2 linked regions of the Drosophila melanogaster genome follow. The protein of the gene in region 1 interacts with the protein of each later gene in a biochemical or structural test. Each region holds a gene or a part of one and is shown in the gene's direction. Other genes may lie near its edges. The genes, in order: Rpt3 and CG30031.

What was found.
Region 2: of the proteins of Rpt3 (region 1) and CG30031, one has a biochemical effect on the other in vitro, tested with the Drosophila melanogaster proteins (one study listed by BioGRID).

The regions. Positions count from the first base shown.
Region 1 is NC_004354.4:11,123,205-11,127,581, forward strand, and holds Rpt3 (regulatory particle triple-A ATPase 3), read left to right. Parts: upstream 1-1,896; 5' UTR 1,897-2,108; coding exon 2,109-2,144; intron 2,145-2,218; coding exon 2,219-2,302; intron 2,303-2,360; coding exon 2,361-3,482; 3' UTR 3,483-3,581; downstream 3,582-4,377. Other genes in the region: CG11122 (uncharacterized protein), read right to left, coding at 1-394; SrpRalpha (signal recognition particle receptor alpha), read right to left, coding at 3,771-4,377.
Region 2 is NT_033778.4:11,348,852-11,352,266, forward strand, and holds CG30031 (uncharacterized protein), read left to right. Parts: upstream 1-1,959; 5' UTR 1,960-1,975; coding exon 1,976-2,737; 3' UTR 2,738-2,770; downstream 2,771-3,415. Other genes in the region: gammaTry (gammaTrypsin), read right to left, coding at 243-1,004.

The DNA.
Region 1 (4,377 bases):
TATCACAGTACAGACACAGGACCTTCGAGTGCGCGGCTCCACCCAGGCCGGCGGCCTCTTCCCGCTCGCGCTCGCGCTCCCTCTCCCGTTCTCGTTCCCGTTCCTCCGTCATCTGATGCAGCTTCTCCACCAAACGGGGCAGCCGCTCCAGCGGCAGGCTGCAGATCAGCGAGAGCGGCTCTTGTTCCGCTTCCAGCTGATCCTCGTGCGGTTCCACCTCTTCCTGTTCCGCGTCCACATCCTCCTCCTGCCGGGTCTGTCGTTTTTTGCGCGGATTAGATGAGGCAGCGGCCGTGGCTGGTGCCGTTGCCGGTCCAATTGGATTCTTGCCGTTGACCTGCTCCTCCGAGAACTTGAAGCCACGGCGCAGGCCGAAGCGCGACATGGTCTTCATGTGGAGGCCACTGGGTCGTCCGTGGTTGCGTTGCACAAGTTAACTGCTTCGCCACTCCTGCAAGCAGTGCGGGGTGTGCGGACAACAATTTACTGCTGCACGCACACTGCTTCGTTCTTCCTTCTTCTTTTTGTTGACAAATAAACCGCAAGAAGAAGCAGCGAAAAACAAAAACTACTCACACACACGTACGCACACACACTCGCACGCACACCTGCTCAATTGGAAATTATACAATAAACATTTTCAACTCCTCGAATTGATCTCGCTCTGTTATCGGACACTATTGTTTTGGCCAACAGCTATATATAGCATAACTACCACTCCACTGCACAAGACCACACTGTCCACTTGGATATCCCGACTTGGTCTCTCCTGCGTATCTAAATACGTTTCGTTTTGTTTCGTTCTATTCGTTTTGTTCTGTGTTTCGGTTCGTTGTATTGCACTGTATTCCGGGATTTCACGGGATTGCTTTCCGTTTTGTTGTTTTGTTTCTTGTTTTTTTCTTGTATATTTTGTTCTTTTCGCTTGGATACGGACCAGACCAGGAGCGCCAACGGATCCGTATCAGTGCCTTGCACTTAAATTTAAGCACGGCATTGCAGCAGCTCGACCACCAGTGTAGCGCATTCAATTTTCCCTGGCCGTTCTTTCCACCCTAACAACTGCGTTAGGAGGTATCTAACGTTTAGCCCAAATCGATGCGTGCGTACGGCGCAGAGGGGGCGGCGGCGCGGCCAGAGGGGGCGGGGCACGGCAGCAGGACAACGACGACAACGACAACGATACTTTGTGGGAAACGTACTCGGAATCGGAATCGGAATCGTACTCGTACCCGTTCTCTTTCCCGTTCTGATGCTAGCGATATTGGGGAAACGATTTTTCGGCGACGGCGGCGGCATTATCAGCCATCGAATTGTGCTATATAAACAGCAAATTCGATTTCACTGTCCTACCAGCGCTCGTGTGTGTATATATTTGGTTCGTTCGCACACGCACACATAGCACACACAGAAGCAGCAGGAGCGACCGAAATGTTAAATGTGTGTGTTTTTCTACTCTTTTTTTTTCTTATGGGAAATCGAAATCGCGTCAAAATGGTCGGGTTTTGCCAGTGTGTACACACTTGTACCCGCTGGCGAGAAAGGTACTCGAACTATCGATAGTTGCGTCTCGAGCAGCGATACTTTGGCATGGTTCTACGTGAATTGCTTAGAATAACTTGCGATTTTATCAATTACTTATAAGCGATCTGCATTCGAAATAGTTTTTGTTAGTAATAAATCTGTTATCAGCTTTTGTTCCAATCAGAGCTGGTATATATCGGGCAATTATCAGACAGCTGATTTTTTCCCATCACCAGATGCTTTGAAACGTATTAAAAAATACTTTCCGGATATTAAGTGAGAAACATGACATGTGATATTAGATTTATTTGTATACAACATTTTAGCTTTACAGACTAACTGGTATAGGATATTGTCCAATAAAGAGGAGTTGCTTTCTTATCAGAAAGAGTATATATCGAAAAAAAAAACCGATTGAAAGAGCAGCACAATTTGATAGATAAATGGCCCCATCGATAGATCACAATCGATTGCGGACAGGGTTGCCACCACAACGCACTGCTGGCTTGTTTTTGACGAGTCATTTTGGTCGCCTCGCAGAAAACGCAAACTAATAAAACGAGACTCATTGCTGAACGAAAAGAATGCCGTACAACATGGACGTACTGATACCGGAAAAGGTGCGTAGTTGCCTCTCTGCGCCGCCTGGCATGCGTACTAATTACCTCTTTCCCAATTCCACTTTTTCCACCAGGACGAGCTCTCCGACTTGAAGCTAAAAGATGCGCACAGTTCCCTGGACGAACTGGACATGGAGGATCTCTACGTGCGTTACAAGGTGAGTCGTCCACTGGTCTTCCATTTGATCACCCATCTAAGCGGCCATTGTGTTGTAGAAACTGCAAAAGACACTGGAGTTCATTGAAGTGCAGGAGGAGTACATCAAGGACGAGCAGCGAAACCTGAAAAAGGAGTATCTGCACGCCCAGGAGGAGGTGAAGCGCATCCAGTCGGTGCCGCTGGTGATTGGCCAGTTCCTGGAGGCCGTCGATCAGAACACGGGCATTGTGGGCTCCACCACCGGCTCCAATTACTATGTGCGCATCCTGTCCACCATCGATCGCGAGCTGCTGAAGCCCTCCGCCTCGGTGGCCCTGCACAAGCACAGCAACGCGCTGGTGGACGTGCTGCCACCAGAGGCGGATAGCTCCATTTCGATGCTGCAGCCGGATGAGAAGCCCGACGTTAGCTATGCGGACATTGGTGGCATGGACATGCAGAAGCAGGAGATCCGCGAGGCAGTCGAACTGCCGCTGACCCACTTCGAGCTGTACAAGCAGATTGGCATCGATCCGCCGCGCGGCGTGCTTATGTACGGTCCGCCCGGTTGCGGCAAGACCATGTTGGCCAAGGCGGTGGCCCATCATACGACGGCGTCGTTCATACGCGTCGTCGGCTCGGAGTTCGTGCAGAAGTACCTCGGCGAGGGACCGCGCATGGTGCGCGACGTTTTCAGGCTGGCCAAGGAGAACGCGCCGGCCATCATCTTCATTGACGAGATCGATGCGATTGCCACGAAGCGTTTCGATGCGCAGACTGGCGCCGATCGCGAGGTGCAGCGCATTCTGCTCGAGCTGCTCAACCAGATGGACGGGTTCGATCAGACCACGAACGTTAAGGTGATCATGGCTACCAACAGGGCGGACACACTCGATCCGGCATTGCTGCGACCTGGTCGATTGGATCGTAAGATTGAGTTCCCGCTGCCCGATCGCCGGCAGAAGCGACTCGTCTTCTCCACCATCACCTCGAAGATGAACCTAAGCGAGGATGTCGATTTGGAGGAGTTTGTGGCGCGGCCGGACAAGATCTCCGGTGCCGATATCAACGCCATTTGCCAAGAGGCGGGCATGCACGCGGTGCGTGAGAATCGCTACATCGTTTTGGCCAAGGACTTCGAGAAGGGCTACAAGAACAATATCAAGAAGGACGAGCAGGAGCACGAGTTCTACAAATAGATTATATTAATTCATACACACTACTCCCGCCCCATTTTTTCCCCCAACACACTAAACTCTTCTTTGTACGCATAAAGTTATAAACATTAATAAAAAAATAAAAAAAAACAAAACAACTTGTAATCGAAGTGCCAAGCGATCCTTAATCCTAAACGAACCAACAGCCAACAGTGGGCAAAGCATTCCATTTACGCAACAACAAACTAGACAAAAGCCATATATTTGATTCGGTGAAAAGAGTGGATGCAAACAAGGAGCATTGGAAGGATAGCCGGATCGACGGCTGGCTTACTTCATCAGGGAATTGACCACGGCGTTCACATTGATGGCCTTTAGGTCGGCATACGTCTGACCCGTGCCCACGAACACAATTGGCTGGCCGGTTATGTAGGTCATGGAGATGGCGGCGCCCACCTTGTCATCGATGGTATCGAACTTGGTCAACACTATGCCGTCGATGATGTGCGGGTTCTCGTTGGATGAGTAGTCGGCCAGCGACTGATTGAACTTGACCAGCTGGTCGACGGCTTCGTTGCCCACCAGTGCCTCGCCCACGAATAGCACCAGATCCGGATTGTTCACTTTGATTAGCTTGGACAGGGAACGCATCAGCGGCTCGTTATCCTGCATGCGTCCGGCGGTGTCCACAAGCACCACATCCACTCGCGTATCGTGGGCAAACTTGATGGCCTCCATGGCAATGCCGGCGGCATCCTTGCCGTAACCCTTCTCGTACAACTGCACCATGTTGCGTCCATCGTGCTTGGCCGCCGGATGCAGTGCGTTCAGATGGCGTGTGTGTGTGCGCAACTGCTCGACGGCACCGGCTCGGAACGTATCGCAGGCGGCGATCAGAACGTTGAAATCGTTCTCGATCAGCCAAAAGCAGATCTTG
Region 2 (3,415 bases), on another chromosome or scaffold:
TGATCGAAAACGGGTACCTCAACAAATTACCTTTAATTTATTAAAATGATTTAAACCATTATTAACCTCCCGACAGAAATCTAGGTGTTTGTTATTTTTCAGGAGGTGAGAATACATTTTTTAGAAGGTTTCCTTTCCCATTTGCTGAATAAGACACATTACTGTTGAATCAGTAATAGGTCAAAACCACAATGAAACATAATAAAAGTAATATCCAAACTGAAATTTATTTCGCATACTTCTTAGGCATTGCTAATAACCCAGGAGCGGAGGGCAGCAACATCGGCATAGACACCGGGGTAGTTGGAGTAAGCGCATCCGTATCCCCAGGAGACAACACCGACGAGGACTCCGCCGGAGACCAGTGGGCCACCGGAGTCACCCTGGCAGGCATCCTTGCCGCTGGCAGCAGCGCAGATCATGGTGCTGCGGATCTGGCTACCGTATCCGTAGGTGGAGGAAGCACACTGGCTCTGGCTAACGATGTTCACGTTCACGTACTGCAGCTGGGAGGGGATGGAGCTGGATCCGTAGGAGAGAGTGCCCCATCCGGAGACGGAGGCCGCAGCGCCGTTGGCGGGGTTGGAGCTAGCCAGACCGATGGCCTTGATGGTGGAGCTGAAGGTCAGGGCGCCGTTGATCTTGATGATGGCAATGTCGTTGACCATGGTGTTGGCGTTGTAGCCCTCGTGGTTCTTGAAGGAGGACACAGAGAAGGTGACACCGCCGGAGCTCCAGTAGCTGGATCCAGCACGGATCTGCAGGACGGAAGCGGACACGGACTGCAGACAGTGAGCGGCGGTCACGATGACGTTGCTGGAGTAGATGGATCCACCGCAGGAGTGGCTTCCACTGCGCTGCAGGGAGATCTGCCAGGGGAAGCTGCTGATGGTGGTAGCAGAGCCGCCGACAATGCGGCCATCCAACTGAGGCAGGAGTCCCTCAGGGACGGTGCCTCCCAGGGCGCAGGCTACTGCAGACAACAAGATCACGAACTTCAGCATGGTGCGAATCCAATGAGTTGACTCTAAACTGGACACCCCTTTTATACAGGGACCTATCTCTTTGTGGCGCTCTTATCATAAATTTCAATTATTTTTATCACTTGCTTGTCAGGGAAATCCAAAATATTTTTTAAATGTGTGACCGACAAATAGATTTCGCGAATAAGAAGTATATACGTATACAAAGTCCAGATTCATGCCAAACGATTTTTTTTTGCAATAAGTTGGTCATTTAAATAGCTTGAAAAAGATAGTCACATAAAGATATCGGGGTTTAAACGAAATTAAAACAATTTATATTTCTATAAACAATTTATTGTGTTTTAAATAAACAGACACCATAATTTTTTAAAAGAAATTATATAACTTATGAGAAACATCATGAGCATTACTAGAAAACAATGCAATTGAACGCATAATCATGTAATTAAAATTAATGCAAAGGCGATTAAATTGTTCTTAAAATTAATGGTTTTACAAAATTCACAAATTAAAATGCTAAACAGTTATTTTCTTTTAAAAAGCCAATAATATTAATAGTTATGCACACAATTATGTATAATAATTGGATTAGATTAGAACTAAATCAAGTTGAATGACAAGCATCCACTTTTAAAAAATTCCACAATGTTATTGTACAAGTTTAATCCCCTATTTAAATATGTAAGTCGAAAAAAGACGTTCCCATCAATACCTTGCAAATTAAATATAATAAAAAGAACGCGAATTATTTAGAAAGGTAATATAAAAGTAGTTACACTTTCCTTGCATTTTTATTTATTTTTGTGATAAAGAGCCGTGCGACTTCTGAGTTGTGGAATATCATTTGGGCACTTCAACGGTATTATTTGGGTTTTCCTGACACGCAGGTGATAAAAATAATTGAAAGTTGTGATTATAGTGCCAAGAACAGATTGGAAACTCGTATAAAAGGGGTGTCCAGTTTAGAGTCAACTCATTGGATTCGCACCATGCTGAAGTTCGTGATCTTGTTGTCTGCAGTAGCCTGCGCCCTGGGAGGCACCGTCCCTGAGGGACTCCTGCCTCAGTTGGATGGCCGCATTGTCGGCGGCTCTGCTACCACCATCAGCAGCTTCCCCTGGCAGATCTCCCTGCAGCGCAGTGGAAGCCACTCCTGCGGTGGATCCATCTACTCCAGCAACGTCATCGTGACCGCCGCTCACTGTCTGCAGTCCGTGTCCGCTTCCGTCCTGCAGATCCGTGCTGGATCCAGCTACTGGAGCTCCGGCGGTGTCACCTTCTCTGTGTCCTCCTTCAAGAACCACGAGGGCTACAACGCCAACACCATGGTCAACGACATTGCCATCATCAAGATCAACGGCGCCCTGACCTTCAGCTCCACCATCAAGGCCATCGGTCTGGCTAGCTCCAACCCCGCCAACGGCGCTGCGGCCTCCGTCTCCGGATGGGGCACTCTCTCCTACGGATCCAGCTCCATCCCCTCCCAGCTGCAGTACGTGAACGTGAACATCGTTAGCCAGAGCCAGTGTGCTTCCTCCACCTACGGATACGGTAGCCAGATCCGCAGCACCATGATCTGCGCTGCTGCCAGCGGCAAGGATGCCTGCCAGGGTGACTCCGGTGGCCCACTGGTCTCCGGCGGAGTCCTCGTCGGTGTTGTCTCCTGGGGATACGGATGCGCTTACTCCAACTACCCCGGTGTCTATGCCGATGTTGCTGCCCTCCGCTCCTGGGTTATTAGCAATGCCTAAGAAGTATGCGAAATAAATTTCAGTTTGGATATTACTTTTATTATGTTTCATTGTGGTTTTGACCTATTACTGATTCAACAGTAATGTGTCTTATTCAGCAAATGGGAAAGGAAACCTTCTAAAAAATGTATTCTCACCTCCTGAAAAATAACAAACACCTAGATTTCTGTCGGGAGGTTAATAATGGTTTAAATCATTTTAATAAATTAAAGGTAATTTGTTGAGGTACCCGTTTTCGATCAATTACTACATAGTTTAACTTATGTTAACCGAACTTACTCTTTAACAAAAGAGAATGCTATATTCGAGTTCCCCGACTATCAGATACTCTCGTTACTCAGCTAGTGTCAGGGTGAACGAACTAGCATCTTTCTTCTGGCATATCGATAGAAACTCCACAGTGAAAATGAATGAATGAAATGAATGAATGATATGAATGAAATGAATGAATGATATAAATGAATGAATGAAATGAATGAAATGAATGAAATGAATGAAATGAATGAAATGAATGAAATGAATGAAATGAATGAAATGAATGAAATGAATGAAATGAATGAAATGAATGAAATGAATGAAATGAATGAAATGAATGAAATGAATGAAATGAATGAAATGAATGAAATGAATGAAATGAATGAAATGAATGAAATGAATGAAATGAATGAAATGAATGAA